Macaca mulatta: one gene and its partners. The main gene of each other region encodes a partner of the protein of the gene in region 3 in a complex. Links are inferred from orthologs where the notes say so. Each region holds a gene or a part of one and is shown on either strand. Other genes may lie near its edges. The genes, in order: SMARCD3, SMARCD1, SMARCC1, SMARCD2, ACTL6B, PBRM1 and DPF1.

Region 1 (3,767 bases), on a different chromosome or scaffold from region 3:
GGGTCTGGTGGGGGAGGGGAGACGCCGGCTCACCGCGCCTGGAGCTGGGGGCCCTGGTCTGACCCACGGGCGCCCGTTTCTGCTTCACCCCCGCCCACCCACAGCGCCCCGGGATGCCGTCTGGAGCCCGGATGCCCCACCAGGGGGCGCCCATGGGCCCCCCGGGCTCCCCCTACATGGGCAGCCCCGCCGTGCGACCCGGCCTGGCCCCCGCGGGCATGGAGCCCGCCCGTAAGCGAGCAGCGCCCCCGCCCGGGCAGAGCCAGGCACAGAGCCAGGGCCAGCCGGTGCCCACCGCCCCCGCGCGGAGCCGCAGGTGAGTGGGAGGCCCGGCGCGGAGGGGGCGTGCAGGGGCGGGCCCTGGGGACCCGCAGGGACCAGGTGAGAGAGTAGCGGGGATTGGAAGAGGTGAGGAAGAATGATTAGCAGGGAGCGAGGCTTCCCGGATCGGATGCCCTCTGGGGAGGTGGGCTTAGGGGGCACCGGCCTGATTCTTTTGTGTGCCCACGGTAGAGACAGGCTGTGGCCGTCGGCAGCCGGTACCGCTTCCCTGCACGTTCCCCTCACCCTTCTCCTTGTCACCTGCTCAGTCCCTCTCTCCACCCATCAGGTTCTGGGTGATGCTTCAGTCTTTGGGTTGGGGGCGGGGCTTCCAGTGGGACTGAGGGCAGAGCTGTAGGACTGTGTTGCCCAAAGTGTAGTTCTCCGCTGAGCCTTCCTGCCAGACCCCGGACTGTTTCAAAGCCACTCCAGATTTTCTCAATGGGACTCTCTGGCCCTGGGGGTGGAGCTTGGGGATTTGCCCTGTGGTAGGTGGTCTCTGCCCAGTTCCGCTCTTAATTCTTAGGCACTCTGGACCAGGTCTGCTCCCAAGCCACCAGGGCCAGCCCATTGCCTTATTTTCCTCCAGCAGCTGGTGGCACCCTTAAAGCCCCTGCTGGCTCCTGGCAACAGCAGTGCCCCTCTGGATTTCAGTATTTAGCCAAATACACATGCTTTTTTTGCACAACAGATGGATTTCTATAAAAGGTGTAATATCAATTTTACCTCATTATTAAGTATTTTTTACACATCAGGTAAAATTCACCACTTATAGGAATCCCATGATGAATTATTTTGTAAAGTGCATCGTCATTTTGTACAGCAAACGGTAATTCCCTGATTTATCTTGTATAAATGGAGAGTTACACAAAGATAATCTGTCTAAAACAAACCAGACCTTTAATGAAATCTGCTTGTTAGCCTTAGATTTCTGCATAGGGAGGGGGTAGTGGTTGAGAACACCACACGGGGGCAGTATGGAGCTATTCTCTAGGCTGCGTTTTCATCTCTTGACCCGCCAAGGTTTTTCTGGGGGTTTTTGGGTTAGTCAGCAGCAGCTAGTGGGTCAGAAAGAGCTCACATCCAGCTGCTACTACCCTGGGCCTAGTCAGTTTGGCCTCAGCCTGAAGTCACACCCATGCACATTCTGGGCGCCTATGGCTGCAGCATGTCCCTCACCTTGTTGCCAGGTAGTCCCAGGGCATGAGTACCCCTGCTCATCAGCATTCTCTTGCAAGCCCAGGGTGCCTGGAAGGGATGCAAGTCCCGCCAGCTTCACACCATCACCTCCCGCTCCATGGATAGGAAGGAAGTCGTCTATCTCCCTCCCTCTGAGCTTAGAATCCTTTGGACAGGGCACCCCCTGCTTTCCAGAAAAGGTCCTCAGACCTGGCTTCCCTCTCCTTTGTCCTCCCTCATCCCCACCTTTCCTCAAACACTTCTGCAGCTCCCATCTTTTGGCAGCACCACCCCCACTCGCCAGTCCCTCCTAAGTCTAAATTTCTCTGTCCCTAAGGATGTGGCAGGTTAGAAGGGGGCTCCCAGGCCAGAGAATGGACGGGTCACCCCTGTGTCCTTAGAGAGGACAGAGCACCAGTTCCACACACCACCGTCATAGCCCTTGGGCGGGCAGACAAGCGGGCTGTGGGAACCCCAGCCAGGCGGGCGGAGATGTCGGGATAATTTAGCAGGTGGCCTCGTTACTCCCAGATCTGTCGCCATGGTAACCTGGTTTTTTCTTTAAAAAATGTACAGTGCCAAGAGGAGGAAGATGGCTGACAAAATCCTCCCTCAAAGGGTGAGTGTCTTTCACAGCAGCCCCCAGCCCACCCCCTACCCTTTGCTGCTCTGCCCTCCCCTCCCCCCTCAAAAGCAGAGCTTCAGTGTCACAGTCACTTTCACTTTTTGTTTAAAAAAACTCATTAGTAAGTGAGGCTCCCTAGGCCAGAGGGAGGGGGTGAGGTGGAGGGAAGCAGCAGAGCCACTGGGGCCAGAACACAGGGGCCTGTCAGGGGGCTGGATCCAAGTGGTACTAAGACAGAGTTGTGGGACAAGAAGGGGGCAAGAGCTAGGGGATCAAAAGCTGCCAGGCAGAATGAAGGGGATAGAAGGTGGCCAGAGATCCTGAGCATCCTAAAGGGACCCAGGTCCAGCTGGATATGGGGGACAGCACAGTTGGGACAGGTGTGGGGGCTGAGCAATGTGCCAGCAAAGAAGAAAGCACTGCTGTCCAACTGTCCCAGGGATTGAGCCCCTACTAGGCACTTTGCAGGGGCCCAGGGGAAGCCCAGTGGGCATATGACATAGAAAATGACAGGATGAGGAGACTAAAGGCTAGTGCTTTGCTGGGTTCCACAGTTGCTACCTCCTCCCCGTGATGATACACAAGGCTCTTCCTAAAGGGAGAAGCAATTGTTATCCCTACACAGCAAGGCCCCTACTGCTGGATAATGGCATCCTGGGGAGAGGTCCTGTTCCCACTGTCAAAGCTCCATGCCCAGAAGTAGGATGGCTCCCCCGACATCTTTTGCACCCTAGGATTGCACAACATGCATACATTCCATGGTACAACCCTGGACTCGAGCCTCTGACTCCTGCCCTGCTCCTCCTCCTCCAGATTCGGGAGCTGGTCCCCGAGTCCCAGGCTTACATGGACCTCTTGGCATTTGAGAGGAAACTGGATCAAACCATCATGCGGAAGCGGGTGGACATCCAGGAGGCTCTGAAGAGGCCCATGAAGGTGCCTTAGTTCGGGGGTAGGAAGGGGACTCTTGAGTCGCGTGACCAGGATGGGGAAGCAAGGTAGTCAGGGTGGAAGCACACAGCATTTGCCAGGTTCTACACTCTATTTCTACAGCAAAAGCGGAAGCTGCGTCTCTATATCTCCAACACTTTTAACCCTGCGAAGCCTGACGCTGAGGACTCCGATGGCAGCATTGCCTCCTGGGAGCTACGGGTGGAGGGGAAGCTCCTGGATGATGTACGTCCCGGCCCAGGTCTCTCCAGGTGTCCTGGGGTGGGCACGGGCTGCACTGAGAACAGAACAAAGTGTCTGCACTAAGGGCTAGGGAGTCAGCCCAGGCTGGGGAGGTGGGGGCAGGCCTAGAGACATTCCAGGTGCAGAGGATTTCATCTAAGCCCACTGCCCTGTCTGCTGCCAACTTGGCCTCCTTCTGCTTCTCCCACCCTGTCCCTGTTCTGCCCCCATGGTTCCTGTTCCTCTCCCACAGCCCAGCAAACAGAAGCGGAAGTTCTCTTCTTTCTTCAAGAGTTTGGTCATCGAGCTGGACAAAGATCTTTATGGTCCTGACAACCACCTTGTTGAGGTAAGACCAAGAGCCCCTCCGCCCTTGAATTGCCACCTTCCCACAGGCCAGAATCCCTGAAGAACGAGCACAGATTTGGGTCAGGGACCGCCCTAGAGTCCTGGGCCCCACCACTCCAGA
Region 2 (3,767 bases), on a different chromosome or scaffold from region 3:
GCTCTCCTTTGGAAGATCAGTTGTTAAACATTTACCAGCTCTTCACTGATGGAAGAGCTCAGTGGCCATCTTTTCTCTGGATGGTACAGCATTCTATTCTGAGCCTCCAATTCCATTACTTCTATTCACTTTTTTGTTTAGAGGATGGAGAGCAAGGCATCTCTAGGCAGATAGGAAGTGAAGAAAATTCCTTCTCAAAGAAGCATGTCTCTGTAGTTGGATATAGTCTCTTTGCCTTTCTTCCTTTATTCCATATTAATTCCAGTAAGGACTTTTTTTTTCTTTTTTTTTCTTTTCTTTTTTTTTTTTTTTTTTGAGACAGAATCTCATTCTGTCGCCAGGCTGGAGTGCAGCGGTGCAATCTCAGCTCACTGCAACCTCCACCTCCTGGGTTCAAGCGATTCTCCTGCCTCAGCCTCCTGAGTAGCTGGGATTACAGCATGCCAGTACGCCCCGGTGATTTTTTGTATTTGAGTAGAGATGGCGTTTCACAATGTTGGCCAGTATGGTCTCGATCTCCTAACTCTGTGATCCACCTGCCTCAAGCCTCCCAAAGTGCTGGGATTACAGGCATGAGCTACCACGCCTGGTGGGCTTTTTTTTTTTCTTTTGACCCTGAACCTACAAGATGACAGAGAGGGAGAGGGGAGAAAAAGAAGAAAGATAAGACCCTGAACCATTACTTACGCAGTAGTAACTCCTCGACCTATAAATTAGGTCAGTAGAAGTTGGTCTGTCCTGTATTCCTATGCTTAAAGTTAGACCACTTTTAATTTTGTGTTTGACTTTATTTTTGGGGTCAATTTTAGTTTAAAAGGGAGAAAGCCAGGCACAGTGGCACGTTCCTGTAGACCCAGCTACTCCAGAGGCGAAGGTGGGTAGATATTTGAGTCCTGGAGTTCGAGTCCGGCCTGGGCAACATAGCAAAATCCTGTCTCTGAAACAATGAAAAAAAGTTTGTTTGGTCAGGTGTAGTGGCTCATGTCTGTAATTCCAGCACTTCGGGAGGCCAAGGCGGGCGGATCACAAGGTCAGGAGTTCAAGACCAGTCTGGCCAATATGGTGAAACCCCATCTCTACTAAAAATACAAAACTTAGGTGGGTGTGGTGGTGGGCACCTGTAGTCCCAGCTACTTGGGAGGCTGAGGAAGGAGAATCACTTGAACTTGGGAGGCAGACGTTGCAGTGAGCCGAGATTGTGCCACTGCACTCCAGCCTGGGCAACAGAGCGAGACTCCATCTTAAAAAAAAAAAAAAAAAAGCTTCGTTTGTTTAAACATATATAGAGTCTCGCTCTGCCAGACTGGAATGCAGTGGCGTGATCTTTGCTCACTGTAACCGCTGCCTCCCAGGTTCAAGCAATTCTTGTGCCTCAGCCTCCCAAGTAGTTGTCATTACAGGCATGCGCCACTTTTTGTATTTTTAGTAGAGATGGAGTTTCACCATGTTCGCCACACTGGTGTTGAATTCCTGGCCTTGAGTGATCTGCCCGTGTTGGCCTCCCAGAGTGCTGGGGTTACAGGCATGAGCCACCACACTTGGCCAAAAAAGTTTTAAAAATTATTATTATTATTATTATTTTTTTTTTGAGACAGAGTCTCTCTCTGTTGCCCAGGCTGGAATGCAGTGGTGTAATCATGGCTCACTGCATCCTCGACCTCCTGGGCTCAAGTGATCCTCCCACCTCAGCCTCCTGAGTAGCTGGGATCACAGATGTGTGCCACCTAGCCCAGGAATTATTTTGAAATTTTTTGTAGAACCTGGGGTCTTACTGTGTAGTATAGGCTGGTCTCAAACTCGTGGGCTCAAGCAGTCCTCCTACTTCAGCCTCCCAAAGTGTTAGGAATTCAGGCATGAGCCACCATGGCTCGCCAAATTTTTTTTTTTTTTTTTGAGACCATCTCACTCTGTCACCCAGGCTGAAGTGTAGTGGCATGAACTTGGCTCACTATAACCTCTGCTTCCCAGGTTCAAGAGATTCTCCTGCCTCAGCTTCCCCAGTAGCTGGGATTACAGGCATAAGCTACCATGTCTGGCTAATTTTTAGTAAAAATGGGGTTTCACCATGTTCCTGACCTCAGGTGATCGCCCACCTTGGCCTCCCAAAGTGCTGGGATTACAGGCGTAAGCCACCATGCCTGGCTGCCAAAAATTTTTTTTAAAGGGAGAAAGATATATAGGAGACTGTAGCAGTCATTTCCTTTGGAGAGGAAGGAACTGCTTTTCACAGGATACCTTTTGTACTGCTTGAATTTTTACCATTGACTTTTTAAATAAATAACTTTATTGAAGTATAATTTATATATAACAGAGTATACCAATTGAAAGTGTAGTCTGAAGATTTTTGCCAGATCTGTATACCATGTAGCTGCCACAATAAAGTATAGAACATTTCTGTCACACCCAGAAGTTGTTGGGCCCTTTTGCAATTAGCCCCTTTTCTCTTCATCCTGGGTCATCTTTTTGACCCTGTGTAATTAGGTCTTAGGGGACAAGCTCTTTACCAGGCCCCTTTGGTTTCCTGTCCAGTGTTGACCCGAATGATCAGAAAAAGACAGCTTGTTATGACATTGATGTTGAAGTGGATGACACCTTGAAGACCCAGATGAATTCTTTTCTGCTGTCCACTGCCAGCCAACAGGAGATTGCTACTCTAGACAACAAGGTAGGGGTCTGTGCCCTGGACGGTTGGGTACCACCAGCCCCTATCACAGCTTCAAGGCCTCCTTTTGATTTTTAGTGTTCATTCAAAATATGGCGACACCCAGTATATGTCAGGTACTGTGCTTGGTGCTGGTTTGAGCCAGACTCAAATGAATTCTGATTGTGGGGATACTCTCAATAGCGCTGAGCCTCAGTTTCTGATTTGTGGAATAGAGACCATGGTACCTTTTTTTTTTTCTTTTTTCTTTTCAGGAGTCTCACTCTCTCGCCCAGGCTGGAGTGCAGTGGTGCAATCCTGCCTCACGGCAACCTCCACTTCTGGGTTCAAGTGATTCTCCTGCCTCAGCCTCCCAAGTAGCTGGGATTACAGGCACCCACCTTCACACCTGGCTAATTTTTGTATTTTTAGTAGAGACAGGGTTTCGCCATGTTGGCCAGGCTCTTCTCCAACTCCTGACCTCAAGTGATCTGCCAGCCTCGGCCTCCCAAAGTATTGGGATTACAAGCGTGAGCCACCATGCCCAGCCCATAGTACCTATTTTAATCAGGTTGCTATGACAATTAAATGAGGGAGTATATGTAAAGACTTGAGTCTGTATCTGGCACTTACAAAAACAACAAATGGTAACTTCTGCTACTATTATTGTTATCTGGATTGTTATTATTAGACACAGTCCTTGCAAATAAAGCCAAAAGTGCTTTGGGAACACAAAGGAAAAAGGGAGGCTTTGCTGGAAGAGTTGATGCCCCAACTAAATCTTGTTTTTTTTTTTTTTTTTTTTTTTTTTGAGATGGAGTCTTGCTCTGTCGCTTAGGCTGGAGTGCAATGGCGTGATCTTGGCTCACTGCAACCTCCGTCTCCTGGGTTCAAGTGATTCTCCTGTCTCAGCCTCCTGAGTAGCTGGGACTACAGGTGCCCGCCACCACGCCCAGCTAATTTTTGTATTTTTAGTAGAGACGGGGTTTCACCATATTAGTCAGACTGGTCTTGAACTCCTGACCTCAGGTGATCCACCCGCTTCGGCCTCCCAAAGTGCTGGTATCACAGGTGTGAGCCACCGCGCCCAGCCCTAATGAAATCTTGAAGGACAAAGTAGGTGTTA
Region 3 (3,767 bases):
GTAAGATAAATCATAATTGTTTTTAAAAATACCATCAGATTTGAGTAGAAAGCTCATCAGATGTATCTTAGAAGGACTAAGATGTGCTGGATTGTAGCCTACATGTGATTAGAAAAAAAATCCTTACCTTTGCTAATGTTTTCTTGGAGTAAATATCAGTACGTAGACCAAAGTTCTGCAAATCAATTGGTTTTTCCTTGTTTTTCTCAGGAAAATTTAGCATCTGTTGAGCAGCAGGAACCTGAGTCAAATAAATGATAAACGGCTGAGTTAGCCTCTTTAAAGTCAAGAGGGTAAACGTTTTTTAAAATTTGTTTAGGCCGGGCGCGGTGGCTCATGCCTGTAATCCCAGCACTTCGGGAGGCCGAGGCGGGCGGATCACAAGGTTAGGAGCTCAAGACCAGCCTGACCAAAATGGTGAAACCCCATCTCTACTAAAAATACAAAAATTAGCTGGGCGTTGTGGCATGTGACTATAATCCCAGCTACTCAGGAGACTGAGGCAGTAGAATTGCTTATAACCCGGAGGCGGAAATTGCAGTGAGCCAAGATCATGCCACTACACTCCAGCCTGGGGAGCAGAGACAGACTCTGTCTCCAAAAAAAAAAAAAAAAAAAAAAAAAAAAAAGGTTAATATTGGAACTTAAGCCACTCTTGGTGGATTTCCTACGAAAAACAATAAATACCCACACTTCTACACTATACTTCTAACAAAAATTCAACATACAAGTTACATTTTGGTGTCCCTTAAGTCCAGAAAGGATAACAAATTTTCATTACTATATTCTATTTCACAATGGAACAAAATTTATACCTTAGGTTCCTGTGAATCCAACTTAATGCTATACAGAATTTGTCTGACATAATCTGTTTGATAATGTATATATGGATGTCCACTTTACAAATCTTAGGACAAGTTATAAAGATTTCTTTGCTTCACGTTTCTAGAACACAGACTGAAGGAAGGGAAAGAAGATTTTGCATCATCTGCTTACTTATGTGTGTCTTTTTGATGACAGAAGGATAAAGGGAGTTATGCATATAAAAGTAAATTAATAATTTGATAGACTAAGGCATTGGGTTTTGGGATTGGTGGGACAGCATTAACTTAAACACTATATATTCTTTTGGACTGTAATATTTACAGTACACCAAAACACACATACAAACAAGCATCAAAGAAACAGCACTAACAACAGCATTCCTAAATAGATATGCTATAAACAGACATTTGTTACTATTCAGGTCTGATGAAAAGTCAACATTAATTTACCTGAGGTGATCGAAGATGCAGAGGCACAAGCCCAGAGGGAGTATCAGCTAATACATTAAAATGAGGAGTAGGAGGAGGTCCCATTGCCATAGGTCTACTTTCCGGGTCAACTTGGTAATTAACGAGTCCCCACTGCTCTAAAAAGGCATGGACCCTAAAGAATAAAGCTCGGAAAGTTAAAATCTAAAGAATCAATTTCATGTGCTTTATTATCATCATTACACCATTAAAAAACAGAAACAATAAAACAAGTAAATGTGCTCAGCAGGCTATCAAACACCACAAATTACTTGACAGATTTTGTTTGTTATGTAGGGAACAATTTCTACAAGCCACAAATAATGTTGATAACACAGCACCCCCCAAACCTATTACAAAGTTTAATCATTTAAATCACAGAAATGAGAGCACAAATACGCATTTAGGTCCATGGTAATAAAAGAACCCACACACAGACCAAATACACACATAGAAAAAATCCACATTTTTCTTGACAGAGTCTCGCTCTGTCTCTCAGGCTGGAGTGCAATGGTGCAATCTCAGCTCACTGCAACCTACTCAGCCTCCTCGGTTCAAGCGATTCTCCTGCCTCAGCCTCCCAAGTAGCTGAGAGTACAGGTGCCCGTCACCATGCCCAGCTAATGTTTGGTATTTTTAGTAGAAACAGGCTTTCACCATGTTGGCCAGGCTGGTCTCGAACTCCTGACCTCTGGTGATCCACCCACCTCGGCCTCCCAAAGTGCTGGGATTACAGGTGTGAGCCACTGTACCTGGCGGGTTTTTTTTTTGTTTTTTTTTTGGCAGAGCTAGGGCGCAGAGTTTATCCACTCCCAACCTGAATCTACTCCTTCCCTGGTTATTTTATGATTTGACTAAAAAAATTAAAATGTGAACTGTAAAATCTAGAAAACTAAATTAAATATTTATCTTACTTATTTTATTTTTTTGAGACACAATCTCGCTCTGTCGCCCAGGCTGGAATGCAGTGGGACAATCTCAGCTCACTGCAATCTCTGCCTCCTGAATTCTCCTGCCTCAGCCTCCCCAATAGCTAAGATTACAGTCATGTGCCACCACGCTCGGCTAATTTTTATATTTTTAGTAGAGAAGGGGTTTCACCATATTGGCCAGGCTCGAACTCCTGACCTCAGGTGATCCGCCCACCTTGGCTTCTCCAAGTGCTGGGAATATAGGCGTAAGCCACTGCACCCAGCCTAAATTAAATATTTTAAATTTTCAACCTCTAATGCTGAACACAGTGCTCACGCCTGCAATCACAATACTTCAGGAGACCGAGGCAGGAGAATTGCTTGAGGCCAGGAGATTGAGACCAGCCTTGGCAACATTATGAAATCCCATCTCGACAATAAAATTAAATTAATAAAATAAAATAAAAATAAAATAAATTGAATGAAATGAAAGGAAACAAAATATAATCCACCCCTAAATGACACAACTAAAATTAGGTGTTTTACCCAGTTGAAACAACCAGTTTAATATGACAGCAAAGCATAAGTAAATTCCTACAGTTAAATGTCTCAGAAAAAGTCAAACATTTTACCTCATCACAGCACACACATCTCCAGTCAAGTTCCTCCGACAAGCAGTGCTAGTTAAATACTCTTGGGGGTTTAGGCGATACGTGTCAATCATAAAATTTCGATATGCCAAGTATCTAAAAAGCAATGGCAAAATTCATAAGGTGGACACGTATCCTTTCAGAAACAATGTTACTCAGAAACTCAAAAATCTTCAGATTCCTTAGAAATACAATAAATTAAGACAAGAGCATAAAAAAACGGTGATATTATATTGCATATTAAGTTATGAGTGAATTTAGAACCACAAATATGCAAAACAACTGTTTACTAATGTATAATAACAAGTAATGTAACGACATTCATGTGAAGTAACATAAATTCAAACTTGGTCATGGTGGTAGTTAACTGCAGAATTTGAAACTAACACATGGTTACATAGGCTATCTGCCTCACTACCACATATCTATACTTTACTGTGTGCAGGGCACTGTTATAAGCAATGTATGTCTGACAACTGAATCCTCATAATCGCTCCATATTGCAGGTAGGGTCTGCTATCATCCCATCTATGGGTGAGGAAACAAACACTGAGTTGTTAGAGAATTTGTCCTAGCCACAGGGTTGGTAATTGATGGAGCCAGAATTCATCGCACCCAGTGTGGTGGCTCTTCAATCTATGCTCTCAACCTCTGTTGCCTATCACTTCTGTATTTCAAATGTGGCACGTGGATTTGGCTCTGAAAATAGCTATGTAACTTCTCGTGGCAGTTCTTTAAGGGAGATCATGGCTGGGCAACAAGTAGAATCCATGAGACCAAATCCAGAAAAGAACATACGAAAATGGAGAGAGAGACTGAGATTCTGTTACAGCAGATTCCAATGACTTCTGTCACAAAATACAGTACTTAATAACAAGAGTGTTAAGGACTTTGAGACCTAGCAACAGTTCTTG
Region 4 (3,767 bases), on a different chromosome or scaffold from region 3:
TTCACTCCAGAGAGTTCAAAAAGTTCAAAATCTTTTTTTTTTTTTTTTTTTTTTTTTGAGATGGAGTCTCACTCTGTCGCCCAGGCTGGAGTGCAGTGGCATGATATCAGCTCACTGCAACCTCCGCCTCCCAGGTTCAAGCAATTCTCTGCCTCAGCCTCCTGAGTAGCTGGGATTACAGGTGCCCACCACCATGCCCGGCTAATTTTTTTTGTGTTTTCAGTAGACACGGGGTTTCACCATCTTAGCCAGGATGGTCTTGAACTCCTGACCTTGTGATCCACCTGCCTCGGCCTCCCAAAGTGCTGGGATTATAGGTGTGAGCCACCGCGCCCTGCCTCAAAATCCTTTTTACTCATGGGAGAGTGGTGGTATGTTCCCCAACTGAGGCCCTCAGGCCCAGGTTCCAGAGCATCAGGGCCACATTTGGGGCAGGGCAAAGCATGCTCACTGGAGCCCTGGATTCCTCATCTGGGGTTCAGGGGATTGATCCAGGCCTACCTGATCCTGTTGCAAGCAGGGAGTTAGGGAGGCTCAGAGTTCTGGACTGTTTTTTGTTTGTTTTTCCTAACTCCTGAGTTGTTTTTGTTTTTTGTTTTTTGAAGGGGGAGGAGTTGCTAGCACCTATAAGCCCAGGTATGGAGCTTAGCAAAGCTCAGCTAGAATTTGAACTGTTAGCAGCCTTCCCCTGGGGTCCTGAGTGAGCTGGGGGCTCTGGGCCCGGGAAGCCTGGAGCAGATGTCTAGGTGGAGCCTATTCCAGGCCCTGCCTGTGCAGCCTTGTCTTAGGACTTCCTGTTACCAGAGCACCTGCCCAGGAGGGATGGGTGGTGCTGCAGGTTCTGTGAACGCTGCAGCGGGAAGCTTCCTGGGGACCATAGGGCCCTCGCTCACACTCTGCAGGACCCAGTGCTTCAGTTCTTCCCTTTGTCTCAGGCACTAGGAAAAACTAAAGTCTGGGATGTCTGGGCCCGGGCTTACAGCTGTAGTCACACTCAGTTTTTTTCTATAATCTCAGGCCAGAGAAAGAACAATCCTTAAGGCAGAGAAAGAGGTTGTCTTTTGCCTTTCAACAGCTCTGATTAATCTCTTCCTGATGGAGAGAGACTTTGGCAGGACTCCCAAAGCCCCAGAGCCCCCCACTTTGAGGTTTTTATTCTCCCAAACACCTCCCTCCCACCCTGCTCCTCCTCTCCCCATCCTCACGTCTGTGGGTCATGTTTCTTTCCATCTCTGCATCTGGTCAAGAATCTGACCCTCTGTTTTGGGAACATGGGTTTAGTGCAGGATGAAGAGGTTGGGGAAGAATCTCATCTCCATGATGCTGGAGTGGGGGAGGGTCCTTTGATTTGGTACAAGTCTCCACCCTGCCGGGCTTGGTTGGCTGGTTGTGCTCGTTGCATAATCTGGGCCCTGGGGCCAGCCCTGTGAAGCTGCCAGGGACAGTGTGTGCGAGGCAGAGCTGCCAAACAGGCCTTGCAGGCAGCAGCCATGGGGAGGGGGGTGGGGGTGGAGGTGACTCCCAGATGGGCTCCACAGAAATGTCGGGGAGCAAGGCTTCAAGTGGGAAATCCTTCTGCAGGCATCTAAAGAAGCTATTTCTATCTTCCACTTTCCTGCTGCTCAGCCTAGGCCTCTGATCCTTGCCTCCCAGGATAATCTTAGCCCCCTTCTTCAGCTTGGGATTGCCAGGGCTACACGGAGCCAGAGCCAGTCCTGGCTGCCAGGTGGTGCCTGGACCACGGGCAGAGTCCAGGTGCCAGCTGCTGTCTTTCCCACAGGCCACCCAGGAGCCATGGCTTCCCTTCTGGGGTCTTTTGGCATAGGGGCAGTAGTTGGGCAGTAAGGAGGTGAGAGGAGGGTCCAGTTCTGGGCTGTGGGTAGGGGCTATATGGTACCAGAGTACAGGGTACAGGGTCCCGGTACCCTGTCCGAGGCCGCCCTCACCAGCTGGTACGCGTTCCAAGTCATCCTGTTGTAGCCCTGCTCACCTGGGGTGCTGCTGCCTACCAGACCCCTTTCTCCCTCGGCCACAGAGGATGGGGATTGGGGCTCTGCACCATTGGCCTGCTCATGATATAGTATACCCCTCTGCCTGGCAGTGACACTGCCCCCGTGCCTCTCAGCCATGCTTCTCCCTCATGATGGGGGAAAGAGGAGGGCAAGGCTTGGCGGGACTGTCTGAGAGAATAGGGACTGGGTGGGGCTCCTGTAGGCCCTTCCCTCTGCAGGCAGGACCCTCCTCCCAGCCCAGGCTCTGGCAGACCTCATTCGCTGGCATGGCTGCCAGGGCGGTTGCAGGGGGCAGGGCAGGTATGGTTTACACTCTTCGCTCCGACGCCCGCTCTCCTTTGTTCCTGGGGCTCCAGCAGGGCTCTGGCGTGGTGCTCAGGCCCAACCTGGCTGACGAGAGGGATGGAGGGCATAGGCTATGGGCCCTGGAGGGCCCTGCCCCTGACCTATGCACCCCCGTTGGCTCACTTCCCCCAGCGACCTGGCATGTCACCAGGGAACCGGATGCCCATGGCCGGCTTGCAGGTGGGACCCCCTGCTGGCTCCCCATTTGGTGCAGCAGCTCCGCTTCGACCTGGCATGCCACCCACCATGATGGATCCATTCCGAAAACGCCTGCTTGTGCCCCAGGCGCAGCCTCCCATGCCTGCCCAGCGCCGGGGGTAAGAGCATCCTGCTTATTCCACTCTGCCTCACTCATCTCTGGTGGTAGCAGAGGGTTTCCTTCTATCTTAAGAGCTTTGGTGTCTGAGGAAGATTCCAGGCTCTCTTGGGGGAGAGGGTCCTGGAGACTGGAGGGACGTTGCGGGGGTGAGTGTCCTTTTTTGGACCATTGATCTCTTAAGTGGGTTTCTGAACTCCCCAGGTTAAAGAGGAGGAAGATGGCAGATAAAGTTCTACCTCAGCGAGTAAGTGTTAAGAGGACGCCTGGGAGGCCTGCCCAGTGGCCACCTCGGGGTGGGCATCCGTCTCCCTCAACCCTGGGCTGCAGGAAGGGAGGAAAGAGCCAGGCTTTGGCTGAAGCAAGCTGATGAGCTTCTGCTACCTTCCTCCAGATCCGGGAGCTTGTCCCAGAGTCTCAGGCATACATGGATCTCTTGGCTTTTGAGCGGAAGCTGGACCAGACCATTGCTCGCAAGCGGATGGAGATCCAGGAGGCCATTAAAAAGCCTCTGACAGTATGTGTGACCTTGACCACCTCTAGCCTTCCCAGGTTTCCTTGCCCTCCACCCCCTTGTTTTCCAGGGGCCAAGCAAGTTGGGCTAGAGCTGGGTTTTTCACATGCAGGATGCAGCCCACTAGTAGAGTACGAACTCAGTTGAATGTGTTAGGGCCAGTATGTTTTAAATTAATATATGACAGTAGAAAATCTAAAAATACTTCACAGTAGTACTTACCATAGTAGTTAAGGTATTCTTTCATGATATTTTTGTTTCCGATAAATAGATATGCAGACCTTGGGTCATAACTGAAAAATGTAAATATTATGGGTCGTGGTCTCAAAAGTTTGAAAACCACTAGAGGATAAAGTTAGTTCCTTTCTCCTTCCCCTTCCCCATCCATAGAGAATATTTTCTTTTTTCTTTTTTTTTTTTGAGATAGAGTCTCGCTCTTTCACTCAGGCTGGAGTGCAGTGGTACAATCTCGGCTCACTGCAACCTTCACATCCCAGGTTCAAGCAATTCTCCTTGCCTCAGCCTCCCGAGTAACTAGCATTACAGACGCCCATCACCACGCCTGGCTAATTTTTGTATT
Region 5 (4,272 bases), on a different chromosome or scaffold from region 3:
TAAAAATGTAAATCTTGGGCTGGGCACAGTGACTCATGCCTGTAATCCCAGCACTTTGTAAGCTGAGGTAGAAGGATCGCTTAAGCACAGGAGTTTGAAGCCAGCCTGGGCAATATAATGAGACCCCATCTCTACAAAAGATTCTCTTAAAATTATTTCTAACTTAAAAAGAGTGTAAATACTGAATATTGATTTCTTTCAAAGTCTAAAATACAACTGGGCTGGGTGCAGTGGATCCCACCTGTAATCCCAGCATTTTGGGTGGACGACCCGGGCGGATCGCTTGAGCCCAGGAATTCAAGACCAGCCTGGAAAACATGGTGAAACCCTGTCTCTACAAAAAATTTAAAAATCAGCTGGGCGTGGTGGCTCATGCCTGTAGTTCCAGCTACTCCGGAGGCTGAAATGAGAGGATCACTTGAGCCCAGGAGACCAAGGCTGCAGAACTGTGCCACTGCAATCCAACTTGGGTGATAAACTGAGCGGAGCCCCTGTTTTTGAGACAAAATCTCAAAAACAAATAACAAACAACAACAACAACAAAAACAACAACAACAAAACCCACTGTACTTAAAGGAGGGTAATAGAAATATGTTGTGGCATAGGCTGGGGAGGAAAAAAGAGCTAAGTGATCATTTTCTAGAGTGGAAAATTCATTGATAATATCTAAAACTAAAAACTCCACAGGCAGCAATTTAAGTGTAATATTAGAGATATGGAAGAAAATACCCCCAAAATTAGCTAAAAAGGAGAAAAACAGTTGCTTCTATAAAGAGGAATCTATAAGGATATGGGTAAGAACATTTTTTAAAATGCAGTTAAAAAATTTTTTTAATTGTTATTGTTTTGATAAAAGAGATGGGTCTTGCCATATTGCCCAGGGTGGTCTCGAACTCCTGGGCTCAAGTGATCCTCTCGCCTTGGCTTCCCAAAGTGCTGGGATTACAGGTGTGAGCCCACATCCCCAGCTCACCAATGTTGACCAAAATAATAATAAGTTAAAAGGTCTAAAAAGTACTTGGAGGCTGGGCATGGTGGCTCATGCCTGTAATCCCAACACTTTGGGAGACCAAGGCGGGTGGATCACCTGAGGTCAGGAGTTCGAGACCAGCCTGGCCAACATGGCAAAACCCCATTTCTACTAAAAATACAAAAAGTTAGCCAGGCATGATGGCAGGTGCCTGTAATCCTAGCTACTCGGGAGGCTGAGGCAGGAGAATCCCTTGAACTCGGGAGGCAGAGGCTGAGATCTCACCATTGCACTCCAGCCTGGGTGACAGAGTGAGACTCTGTGTAAAAAAAAAAAAAAATTAAAAAAGGACTTGGAGATGGAGAAGGGCAGCAGAGTAGATAGAACAAGAAGAGAGCAGGAGGGATGGAGACTTAGGAAGGAAGGAAAGTGGTTGGGATGGGTGAGGGGAGTCTGAAAAGGGAAGGGAAGTGGCTGACATCGGTGGCTTGAGGGGAGAGGAGGAGAGGTGGATGGTGGGAAGCAGGTGCAGTGGAGATCGGGGTTGGACATGGGAAGGCAGGAGGCACTCACCGGGGCCTCGGACATGAGCACGGGGTGCAAGTTTGGCTCAGACTTGACGTGTTTGCTGTAGGTATGATCCAGGATGGCTCGGAAGCACTCCCAGTCCTCGACTGGGGCCAGAAGAGCAGAGTGGAGAAAGGCAAGAGGGCAGGCAGGGGTCAGGGACAGGAAGAAAAGGAGGGAGAAAGGCCAAGCCCAAAGGAGGGTCAGTGAGTCCAGGCCCAGGGGAACGTCCCCTCTTCCCAGAAACCTGCTGGGCCCCTGGGAAGGGAACCCAGCGAGAAGAACCCTGGCAGCGAGAAGAACCCTGGGGCTGCAAGGAAGACTCCTTGGGGAGTGGGGGCTGCTATGTCCCAGATCGTGGGGAGTGGGCTCCCTATCTGTCAGGAGGTGATGGGTGGGGGCCCCTTACTCATGCCATTCTTGAGGGGCGACATGACCTCCGCTCCATCCCGAGGCACGTGCAGGGCATTGGTGTCGATGTGGAAGATCTTCCCTTTCTTCTCTTTGTCCCCCTCCAGCTCCAGCCCGCCCCCCTCCTCCGCGGCCAGCAGCCCCACCGTGGTGGGGAAGTCAGCCTGGTGGGGAAGGGTTGGGGGAGGATCGGCAGGAGAGGGGTCACCCTCTTGCCCCTGTCCAGCCCCACGGCAGGGTCCTCAGCCCGCCCCTGGGTTTATTCCCACATTCCCGCTCAGCAGAGCTTCTGGGCGATCTGGGAGAGCCCTGGGTCACTGGAAAGCCTGAAGAAGGGTCCGGAGCCCCTAGGATTTAGAGAGGAGACTGGAAGGCTCACCTTGGGACAGTCCTCCCCAGCGTACCCAGCGCGGACTGAGAAGGAGCCAATGTCAAAGACCAGCGCCCCCACCTCATCTGTGAGGGGAGACAGGCCTGTAAGGGGACCTCCCCCGAAGTTTTTCCCGCTAGGTAGTTCCGAGAGAAAGTCAGGGCAGAGCCACAGACTCGCCACCTTCAACACCAGTCTGGAGCCGGTGGGAACTGGGCCTGGAGTCTGAGGTCCTGGGACTGGGGGTGGGGGCATCATACCGCCAGGGTCCCTTCTTGCCCACTGGCCTTGCTCAGGCCACCCTCCTGACGGGAAAGGAAGGGGCCGGGGCCAGGTGGAGGTGGGTTGTAAGGTAGAGAGGTTCGGCCCGGTGCGCACGAGAACGGAGCGCAGGGGAGGCGGGAACCCGAGCCTGAGACTGGACCCGTTCATGCGCGGAGGTGACAGGCCCCGGGGTGCCCAGAGCTCGGATGGATGGCGCGGGTTCGGAACGCAGGGGGCCGGAGGCTCGCTCACCTCCGCCGTAGACGCCCCCGCTCATAGTGCCCTCTGCGCTGCTAGCGGCCCGTGGGCGGTGGCGGGATCAGCACCGAGGCGGCCGGACAGCTCCCGGGATCCCTGGCGGGGCGGGGCGCACGGCGACCAATTGGGAGGCCGGATCCCCCGCCCCCAACGGCGCCGCCGATTGGCTGCCAGGCGAGACAATGACCGGACCGGGGGCCGCGGATTTAAAGGGGAAGATACCCTCCGTTAGGCGACCAGGAGGAGATGGGGCAGGGGGCGCCTAGCAGGGACTTAGAGACCGTCGCTAAGGAACGGGCGGCAGAGAGGAGAGCAGGGCAGAGGTGGAGACCAAGACTCTGCAGGACGACTGATGAGGTCCCTACCCCCTTGCTTTTTGTTTTTATTAAATTTTTTGGTGGAAACGGAGGTCTTGTTACGTTGCCCAGGCTGGTCTCGAACTCCAGAGCTCAAGCGATCCTCCTCAGCCTAATAGCAGGGATTACAGGCAGGTGCCAGCACACCTGGCAAATTAAAAAAATTTTTTTTATGGAGACAGGGTCTTGCTCAGGTTGATCTTGAACTCCTGGCCTCAAGCGATCCTCCCACCTCAGCCTCTCAAAGTGCTATGCCCGACCTCTACCCCCTTACTTTTTAAAGCAAGACTGGGGAGAGAGCTCCACTCCCCAGAAGGGTCATCTGTCTTCAGGCTGCTCTGAGCCCGGTTCTGCCACACCCAGGCCTAAATGGAATTGCCGGGAGAGGGAGGGAAGGGAAGATTAAGAGAGGGACCAGAGGGGGTGGGGGTGTGTCTCCATCTCTCTCTGTTTTTTTCTTTGTTTGTTGTTTTTTTTTTTAGAGACTGGCTGGTCTTGAACTCCTGGCCTCAATGTCCCAAAGTGCTGGGATTAAAAGCATGAGCCACCGTGTCCAACTTCCCTCCTTTGTCTTTCGCTGGCCCCTCTTTTCCTTGCCTTGCTCCACCCCTACCCCCACCACCCCAGTACCTGGGCGTTATACATGTGTACACATGCTTACACACATATACATACGTTCACACACAGCCCACCTGGCTTTAGCTTCTTTTCTCCATCTCTCTGTCTCTTCAGCGCCTATTTTCCTAAGGAGGCATTTATCAACAAGAGGGTTTTTGTTTCTTTTCTTTTTGAATTGGGGTCTTCCGTCACCCAGGTTAGAGTGCAGTGGCACGCTCACAGGTCACCGTAACTTTGAACTCCTGGGTTCAAGTGATCCTCTCGCCTCAGCCTTCTGAGTAGCTGGGACTTACAGGTGCACACCACCACACCTGGTTTTTTTTGTTTGTTTGCTTGTTTTAGAGAAGGGCCCTCACTATGTTGCCCAGTCTGGTCTCTAACTCCTGACCTCAAGCGATCCTCCCACCTTGGCTTCCTGAGTCATTGGGATTACAGGTGTCAGCCGCAGCACCGGACTA
Region 6 (4,492 bases), about 5.2 Mb from region 3:
TTCTTTTCTTTCCTAGTTCCTTCTGCCTGTCAAGTTTCTGCTGCTGTTTTAGTTCTTCAAGCTGTGTCAGAGCCGTAAGGGAAATAGATGAACCAGTGACTAGTGTTGTTACCTTACTCTGAAAAATATCACACATAACACACTATACCACTCGTTGAAAATTCTGGCTAACATAACTTACCCTCTGTTTCCTTAGCTCAGCTTCCCTAAGAAGAGCCTCCTTAAAGGGAGCACTGTTTGGAACTCCTGGGTCTTTCCTAGGCTTCTTGTGACCCCGCTTTTTAGCCTCCTTCCTTAATTTTCGATGATGTTCTCGAACCTATTAAAGAGATTTTGTCTGCTTACAAAAATATCTTTATACTTAAGCAGAATTCAAGTGAGAAACCAATCTGGCTGCAATTTAGTTATGCCTATAAAATGTAATAGGAAAATGGAGCTTTAGTTGGAATCTTACAAAGTAATGCATAGGTAAGTATAAAACAGTAAGAAAATGTAACTAGAAGGCTCTCTATGCAGAGATTAACATGTTGAACAAATTTAGAGACTTACCACCAAATCACTGCACTTTCTCACAGCTGCACTCCTGATGCCTAAGAGCTCGTGCCCATGGTCAGTCTATCCAATGCCATTTTCCGAAACCAAATCACATTAACCCGGACTTTCCCGCAAAGGAACAGGGCAAAATCAGTTTAGCAGTGTTTAGTATAGCTCTCTCAAGCACTACACTTACCTTTTTTTGGATTTTATACCGCTTATGGCAGGTCATGCGTTTACTTGCTTTCTTTAACTCTACAAAGAAACATCACAAATCTGTTAACGCAAATGATTAGTTCTGGGTTAACGCACTATGGAGTTATATCCTTTTCTCGTGTTATTGGCTGCCAAACCTAACGTTAAGACTAATGCGAAATGCCTAATGCAAACATACATGCCACTTTCAAATTCCAGAGAATTAGATTCAGTAGATCCAGAACGGAGTCCAAGTTCCCTGCACCTACTCTTACAATATCAGAATAGGATCATACACAGCAGCGTGTACGAGCGTTTATGAGACCCAAAACGACAGCCACTTTGTGTCAAACAGCACGAATCATAAGGCAGGAGAGGAACACTGAGTCTGGGAGGCGATTCTCAGCTCTCACCTGGGCCAGCCTGCACGTGGCCACGGAAAGTAAGATATTGGGCCTGAAACCTGGCTCAGAAGCTGCTTCCTTACGAAAATCTAGCCTAGTCTTTCCCACCCTCTGCCCGTCTTCGTTCCACAGAATGAGCCCGCGCGGTTAACATGATCGCCGTAGGGACTTCCAACTCTCGGTCCTACGAGAAAATAGGGCCAAGGCCTACGCGTAGGCTCTCACCCCTATATCAGCAGAGACAAAGCCGTAGCCGTAAAAGAGCGTCGTGGAGGCTGCAGCAACTTCCAGACATGGGTCCCTCCACGCCCGCTTCCCGACCCCACTTACTAGGCCGCTTCATGTTGGCTGTAGAAAGCGGCACGAGCACGACACCCTGCCTCCTCTAGCGCCACGTGTGAAGTGAAGCCACTGACGAGCGTCACGCACTTACGCTGCCGCCGTAAAGTGCGTCACCGCCTCTCTGCGTGCGCGCGCACGCAGTGTCGCGCGGAGCAGGGATCGCTTGGCGGCCGCGGGACTGGTTTTGCGGCGGCACCGGGAGGGGTAAGGGAGGTGAGGGCGGCGGGTGCCGGAGCGACGGCAGCGGCCGCGGCCGGAGGAGCAATAGCAGCAGCCGTGGCGGCCACGGGGCGGGGCGCGGCGGTCGGTGACCGCGGCCGGGGCTGCAGGCGGCGGAGCGGCTGGGTAAGGCCGGGCCCAGGGCGGGTGGGGCCGCTCCCCCTCGGCCAGCTGCCGGGCCTTTGTGTGGGCCCTGGCGGGCGGGAGCCGCCGCGGAGGCCCCGCCCCGGCTGTGGGGACGCGCCGGTCGGGCCGGGCGCGCGGGGTTGGGCGGGGCACGGCGGCGGGCCTCCCGATGGGCCCAGTAGCTTTGTCGCACCTGCCGGCAGACAAAGGCGCACTAAGGCCCGGAAACTCCCCGCCCTCCTCTTTCCCGCTCGTCGCGGGGCAGCTTCAAAGCTGTCAACGTTTCCCTCAGCCCCCAATACCAGTGACAGGTCGGGAAAGTCCTTCATTTCCTCCGTTGCTCAGGGCCTCTTTTTTTTGTTGTTATTTCTTGGCGGTTCGACACAAACTCTTACTGATTTTTCTTTCCGTATTTTTTCCGGGTGTTTTAATCAATGGGACTTCTATAGTAGAGGCCAAATATTTCAGCTTCTCATCTCAACACCACAAAGAATCCGGGTTTTTGGGAACTGTGTATATTTCTTGGTTTGGGGAAGCACAGTTTTGTTATTATAATAAGTTTTAATTTAAAGGGGCAGAAAGAGTTGCAAAAATATGGAAAAAGTCCTGAAAAATAAGTACACGGTATAGTGAATATAGAAATTCTTACAGTAGCTATACAAGCGTATGTTGGGGTAAAATGTTTTAACTTACTTTCCAACACATTAGGACTCTTGACAAATAATTTTAGGTGTTATTTTTTCTCCATTTGGCTATGTGCTTCCCCCCAAAAAGTGCATATTGGACTCATGCACATAAAAGAGTAGCATAATTTTTGCTTTATTACTTACAGGTCGCCCATATTTGATTTTGAGCTCCAAAATGGAAGATTGGAAAATATGTTTTGAAGAGGTGTTTCAAATTAAAACAATAAAGAGTTATGTGTGGATGAATGGAAGGGCCTTGACCGCTTTCTTTGGCTTTGGGAATGTACAAAATACCTCAAATGTTAATACCCTACCAAAATTCCCAAGATAAGTAAATTGTGGTATATCTGTATGATAGATTACTATCAAGTCATCAAACATCATGAGGAAGAATGTTGACTTGGAAGAATCTTCACTAAAACATAGGCTGTAAAATATGTGGTTTGTTAACATTTTGGTAAAAAATAATAGGTAACTAAGGCATAAACACCAAAAAACTGTGAATGACAACGTTAAAAGTGGTTTTTTCTTGGAAGTAGATTTATAGGTGTTTTTTTCCTTTGAGTCCTGTTTTCCAAGATTTTGTTTTAGGCATATATTGTATTGCTAAATATTACTAGAAATACAGGAGAGGGCTAAAGTTCATAAACGGTTGAAATACACCGTTTGTCTATACTAAGTCGATATTCTTCCAGTTGCACATTATTAAGTATTCTTAACTGCCACTATAAATTATTGATTGTCAGACTCTTGAACTTGTAACTGTAATCAAGGCCATTTTAAAAATTGGAATTGAACTCTGGAATCTGTCTTTCCTCTTCATGGAAAAACAAAATTGCTGAAGGGATGCTTACAGGCTTTTTTTTTTTTTTCCTTTTTTGAGACAAGGTCTCGCTTTGTTGCCCAGGCTAGAGTTCAGTAAAGTGATCATGGCTCACTGAAGCCTTGTGCTCCTAGGCTCAAGCAGACCTCTCACTTCAGCATCCCGAGTAGCTGGGATTACAGATGTGCAGCACCACACCCAGCTAATTTTTATTTTTGTAGAGACAAGGTCAATCTGTGTTGTCCAATCTGGTCTTGAACCCTCTGCCTCAAGCGGTCATCCTGCCTCAACCTCTCCAAGTGCTAGGATTACAGATACGAGACCCTGTGCCTGGCTGAGGCCTTATAAACTATGCAAAAAAAGCTTTTTTTTTTTTAAAGGTCGCACTCAAGTGCACTTTCTTTTCTTTTTTTTTTTTTTTTGGAGACAGAGTCTTACTCTGTCCCCCAGCCTGGAGTGCAGTGGCACGATCCTGGCTCACTGCAATCTCTGCCTCCCAGGTTCAAGCAATTCCTGTGTCTCACCCTTTCGAGTACCTGGGATTACAGGCCCATGCCACCACCTCGCCTAGCTAATTTTTTGTATTTTTGATAGAGACGGGGTTTCACCATGTTGGCCAGGCTGGTCTTGAACTCCTTACCTCAGGTTATCTGCCCACCTCAGCTTCCTAAATTGCTGGGATTACAGGCATGAGCCACTGTGCCTGGCCCTAAGTGCACTTTTAATACATTTATTAAAAGATAAATTGAGCACCTAACCTATACCAAATACTGTTCTGTAAGACAGGTCTACAAAAATGAATATGCTGTTCCTGTGCCTGGGGAACTTGCAGAAGTGATTTCACTTTATGTCTTTTTTTTTTTTTTTTCTTGAGACAGGGTCTTGCTCTGTCGCCCAGACTGGAGTGCAGTGGTACGATCTCGGCTTGCTGCAACCTCCGCCTCCTGGGTTCAAGCAATTCTCGTGCCTCAGCCTCCCGAGTAGCTGGGTTAACAGGCATGCACTGCCTCACCCAGCTAATTTTTTTTTTTTTTTTTTTTTTTGAGACTGTCTTGGTCTGTCGCTTAGGCTGGAGTGCAGTGGTGCCATCTTGGCTCACTGCAACCTCTGCCTCCCGGGTTCAAGTGATTCTCCTGCCTCAGTCTCCCGAGTAGCTGGGATTA
Region 7 (3,767 bases), on a different chromosome or scaffold from region 3:
TGTCTCGAAAAAAAAAAGGAAAAAAGAAAGTGAGAAAACAGAGTCTTTTGCAAATTCAAATTGCAGCTCTGCAAATGTCCTAGCTGTGGGGCTTCAAACCTCTCCAAGTTTTAGCTTCTTCCTCTGCGGCACGGGGATGAAGGTAGCTCTAACCCACTGCATAATCTCTGCTTTGCAAATGGCTTAATACAGATGAGCCTCAGTTTCCTCATCTGTAAAATGGGTATTAAATCCCCCACCCCTGCAGGCTGTTCTGGGATTCAATGAGGTCAGACTGTGGCAGGGGCCGACCACTGCGCCTGCTCCACGAATGAGACCTGTCATTAAGGGGAGCAGGGGAGAGGAGAACCTTGGGGTGATACCTTTCCTTTGGCCCTGTTCTTCCTCCTGGGAATGTCATCCTCCAAGTCTTCCACCTCGAGATCATGCGGAAACTCCAGCAACTGCTGTTTCTGGGCAATAGAGAAAGGAGACGGATCAAGAAAGTAGGAGCCACTGACCTGCTTTTGAGGGGCTCTGGGCAGAGGTGGAGATTGGGGATGAGAGCGTAAGTCAGGAGTTCTTCCAAACAGAGATGAAGTCTGGGAGGATGGAGACTGGGATGCCCGAGGGCTGGAGGAAACCGGGGGGTTTCAGAGCAGGAACATGAGGGCCCGGGCTGGCGGCCGGCAGGGGTGAGAGGAAGCCATGTCGGGGGGTCCCCCAGGGGTGGGCCTACCTGACAGTCCATAATGGTCTCCTCCTCCTTCAGCTCAATCTTCTTCTCCCCCGTCTCTGCACACAGCAGAGCCTCGAGGACGGGCCCTTCAGGGAGGCCACCCTCCTTCTTCAGGGGTGCTTCACAGTCTGGGGACAGGGCCATGGCAGGGTCAGATGGGGAAGTTGACCCTAGAGGACTCCTCAAACTATGCAGGTGGGGGGACCATGCTCTTTGCGGGAGGGAAGAAGCTTTCCCACACTCGGCCAGCAGCCGAGGCGAGGATTTAACTACACGCCCTAGAAGGGAGGCCCAGACCCCGGGGAGACCCAGCCACACCCTCAGATGCCCTGGGACGCACGGCAGGAGACACAGTCAGAACTTTGGATATACCGGAAAGCCTCAGAAAAAGACACAGGCCATCAGGCACACCCAGACCTACTCAGGGAAGACACAGCGACTCTTTTTTTTTTTTTTTTTTTGAGACGGAGTCTCGCTCTGTTGCCCAGGCTGGAGTGCAGTGGCCGGATCTCAGCTCACTGCAAGCTCCGCCTCCCGGGTTTATGCCATTCTCCTGCCTCAGCCTCCCTCCCGAGTAGCTGGGACTACAGGCGCCCACCACCTCGCCCGGCTAGTTTTTTGTATTTTTTTTTAGTAGAGACGGGGTTTCACCGTGTTAGCCAGGATTGTCTCGATCTCCTGACCTCGTGATCCGCCCGTCTTGGCCTCCCAAAGTGCTGGGATTACAGGCTTGAGCCACCGCACCCGGCCGACACAGCGACTTTTAAACACACCCAGACAAATACGGACAGATACACACACTCACAGAGGAGACACATGGACACCCATAGGGGACATCCAGACAGATTTTCTGAGACACACGCAGAAAGGAAGAGGCCCAACCAAGCTCTCCTTTTTCTTTTTCTTTCTTTCTTTTTTTTTTTTTTTTTTTGAGACAGGGTCTCGCTCCGTCACCCAGGTTGGAGTGCAGTGGCACAATCTCAGCTCACTGCGACTCCCAGGCTCAAGTGATCCTCCCATCAGCCTCCTGGGTAACTAGGACTACAGGCAGAGTGGTTGGCCCGCCACCACACCGGCTAATTTTTGTATTTTTGGTAGAGACGGGGTTTCACCATGTTAGTCAGGCTGGTCTCAAACTCCTGAGTTCAAGTGATCCTCTGCCTCAGCCTCCCAAAGTGCTGGAATTACAGGCACAAGCCACCATGCCTGGCCAAGCCACACTCTCAGATACAGCCTAGAGACTCAGAGAGGTATAGCCAGATCCTTGGAGACAGCCAGACACATGAAGGAGACATAGCCGGACCCATGGGTACTCTCAGAGATGCGCAGAGACAATCAGCTGGTCAGGTGCGGTGCCTCACACCTGTAATCCCAGCACTTTAGGAGGCCGAGGTGGGTGGATCACTTCAGGTCAGGAGTTCGAGACCAGCCTGGCCAACATGGTAAAACCTCATCTCTACTTAAAAACAAAATACAAAAATTGACTGGATGTAATTGCTCACGCCTGTAATCCCAGCTACTCAGGAGGCTGAGAAAGAGAATCACCTGAACTCGGGAGACAGAGGTTGCAGTGAGCTGAGATCGTGCCACTGCACTCCAAACTGGATGGAAGAAAAGAAAGAGAAAGAAACAAGGAAAAGAAAGAAAGAAAAGGAAGGGAGGGAGGGAGGGAGGGAAGAAGGAAGGAAGGAAGGAAGGAAGGAAGGAAGGAAGGAAGGAAGGAAGGAAGGAAGGAAGGAAGGAAGGAAGGAAGGAAGGAAGGAAGGGAAAGAAAGAAAAAAGAAAAGAAAGAAAGAAAGAAAGAGAAGAGAGAGGGAGGGAGGGAGAGAAAGAGAGAGGGAGAGAAAAAGAAAGAAAGAAAAAGAAAGAAAGAAAGAAAGAAAGAAAGAAAGAAAGAAAGAAAGAAAGAAAGAAAGAGAAAGAAAGAAAGAAAAAGAAAGAAAGAAAGAAAGAAAGAAAGAAAGAAAGAAAGAAAGAAAGAAAGAAAGAAAGAAAGAAAGAAAGAAAGAAAGAAGAAAGAATTAGCCCTCCAGATACCTAGGCCCCCCTGGGGAAGACAGCCAGATGAGATGCCTAGACACATAGTGGGGAGATACCAACATACCCAGGGAGAATTGCTCAGCTAGATACACACACACACACATAGGAGACACAGACAGACAGAGACACAGCCAGGTGGTCACTGCCACACTCCTGGGTACACACAGACCTTCGGACTCAGGAAGAGAAACTGACCCCAATGACCCTGATACTCCTAAACACATTCAAGGTTAAGTCCAGATCCTCTGATGGACTGACACACACGTGCAGAAATACACCTGATACACCAGACACCATCAGGAAGAGATTCTCCCAGACACTCCGAGGCACCTACACACCCACAGAAAGAGACGGCCGCACCGCGTAACACACCCAGACACACTGGGAAGGAGCTGGACGCCCTGACAAACCAGACATACACAAGACACAAGCCTTCTAAGACACTTGGAGACACCCGGGAAGATACACCTAAGAGAGGAAAGAGCTCCAACCAGACACTGAGACATCCAGACGCCCTTGGGGAGATACAGAGGCGGACACCCTCAGGCACCCACAGAAGAAAATACAGGCAGATGGCCGGGCACGGTGGCTCAAGCCTATAATCCCAGCACTCTGGGAGGCCGAGTCGGGTGGATCACCTGAGGTCAGGAGTTCGAGACCAGCCTGGCCAACACGGTGAAACCCCGTCTCTACTAAAAATACACAAAAATTAGCCGGGCGTGTCGATGTGCGCTAGGTGGGAGGTTGAGACAGGAGAATCACTTGAACCCACTAGGCGGAGGTTGCAGTGAGTTGAGATCGTGCCACTGTACTTCCAGCCTGGGCAACAGAGCCGGACTCCATCTCCAAAAAAAAAAAAAAAAAATACAGGCAGATACTGATCCATCCCAACTCCCAGGGGAAGGGATGCAGACAGAAACTCCATATACCCACACACACCTAACAGGTATCACTATGCCCTCCAATACCACTGGACCCCTTGGCGGGGTGTAGTGGCTCACGCCTGTAA

Evidence for each region.
Region 1: SMARCC1 (region 3) and SMARCD3 share a complex: the UniProt entries of both Homo sapiens proteins name them as parts of the BAF complex. The link is inferred for Macaca mulatta from reciprocal best matches to the Homo sapiens genes SMARCC1 and SMARCD3.
Region 2: SMARCC1 (region 3) and SMARCD1 share a complex: the UniProt entries of both Homo sapiens proteins name them as parts of the BAF complex. The link is inferred for Macaca mulatta from reciprocal best matches to the Homo sapiens genes SMARCC1 and SMARCD1.
Region 4: SMARCC1 (region 3) and SMARCD2 share a complex: the UniProt entries of both Homo sapiens proteins name them as parts of the BAF complex. The link is inferred for Macaca mulatta from reciprocal best matches to the Homo sapiens genes SMARCC1 and SMARCD2.
Region 5: SMARCC1 (region 3) and ACTL6B share a complex: the UniProt entries of both Homo sapiens proteins name them as parts of the BAF complex. The link is inferred for Macaca mulatta from reciprocal best matches to the Homo sapiens genes SMARCC1 and ACTL6B.
Region 6: SMARCC1 (region 3) and PBRM1 share a complex: the UniProt entries of both Homo sapiens proteins name them as parts of the SWI/SNF-B (PBAF) chromatin remodeling complex. The link is inferred for Macaca mulatta from reciprocal best matches to the Homo sapiens genes SMARCC1 and PBRM1.
Region 7: SMARCC1 (region 3) and DPF1 share a complex: the UniProt entries of both Homo sapiens proteins name them as parts of the neuron-specific chromatin remodeling complex. The link is inferred for Macaca mulatta from reciprocal best matches to the Homo sapiens genes SMARCC1 and DPF1.

What each region holds. Positions count from the first base shown.
Region 1 is NC_133408.1:190,675,078-190,678,844, reverse strand, and holds part of SMARCD3 (SWI/SNF-related matrix-associated actin-dependent regulator of chromatin subfamily D member 3), read left to right. Parts: intron 1-104; coding exon 105-316; intron 317-2,076; coding exon 2,077-2,119; intron 2,120-2,938; coding exon 2,939-3,061; intron 3,062-3,178; coding exon 3,179-3,301; intron 3,302-3,551; coding exon 3,552-3,647; intron 3,648-3,767. UniProt on the Homo sapiens protein: Involved in transcriptional activation and repression of select genes by chromatin remodeling (alteration of DNA-nucleosome topology).
Region 2 is NC_133416.1:57,265,362-57,269,128, forward strand, and holds part of SMARCD1 (SWI/SNF-related matrix-associated actin-dependent regulator of chromatin subfamily D member 1), read left to right. Parts: intron 1-2,529; coding exon 2,530-2,665; intron 2,666-3,767. UniProt on the Homo sapiens protein: Involved in transcriptional activation and repression of select genes by chromatin remodeling (alteration of DNA-nucleosome topology).
Region 3 is NC_133407.1:111,045,000-111,048,766, forward strand, and holds part of SMARCC1 (SWI/SNF complex subunit SMARCC1), read right to left. Parts: intron 2,950-3,767; coding exon 2,836-2,949; intron 1,429-2,835; coding exon 1,275-1,428; intron 242-1,274; coding exon 128-241; intron 1-127. UniProt on the Homo sapiens protein: Involved in transcriptional activation and repression of select genes by chromatin remodeling (alteration of DNA-nucleosome topology).
Region 4 is NC_133421.1:73,632,911-73,636,677, reverse strand, and holds part of SMARCD2 (SWI/SNF-related matrix-associated actin-dependent regulator of chromatin subfamily D member 2), read left to right. Parts: intron 1-1,442; exon of another isoform or gene 1,443-1,490; coding exon of another isoform or gene 1,491-1,562; exon of another isoform or gene 1,563-1,849; intron 1,850-2,489; coding exon 2,490-2,674; intron 2,675-2,877; coding exon 2,878-2,920; intron 2,921-3,067; coding exon 3,068-3,190; intron 3,191-3,767. UniProt on the Homo sapiens protein: Involved in transcriptional activation and repression of select genes by chromatin remodeling (alteration of DNA-nucleosome topology).
Region 5 is NC_133408.1:47,859,256-47,863,527, forward strand, and holds the start of ACTL6B (actin-like protein 6B), read right to left. Parts: upstream 2,882-4,272; 5' UTR 2,860-2,881; coding exon 2,835-2,859; intron 2,405-2,834; coding exon 2,328-2,404; intron 2,113-2,327; coding exon 1,947-2,112; intron 1,645-1,946; coding exon 1,544-1,644; intron 1-1,543. UniProt on the Homo sapiens protein: Involved in transcriptional activation and repression of select genes by chromatin remodeling (alteration of DNA-nucleosome topology).
Region 6 is NC_133407.1:116,242,508-116,246,999, reverse strand, and holds the start of PBRM1 (protein polybromo-1), read left to right. Parts: upstream 1-1,655; 5' UTR 1,656-1,820; intron 1,821-4,492. Other genes in the region: GNL3 (guanine nucleotide-binding protein-like 3), read right to left, coding at 1-61, 182-319, 731-789, 1,464-1,476. UniProt on the Homo sapiens protein: Involved in transcriptional activation and repression of select genes by chromatin remodeling (alteration of DNA-nucleosome topology). Required for the stability of the SWI/SNF chromatin remodeling complex SWI/SNF-B (PBAF).
Region 7 is NC_133424.1:49,293,258-49,297,024, forward strand, and holds part of DPF1 (zinc finger protein neuro-d4), read right to left. Parts: intron 847-3,767; coding exon 719-846; intron 453-718; coding exon 363-452; intron 1-362. UniProt on the Homo sapiens protein: May have an important role in developing neurons by participating in regulation of cell survival, possibly as a neurospecific transcription factor. Belongs to the neuron-specific chromatin remodeling complex (nBAF complex).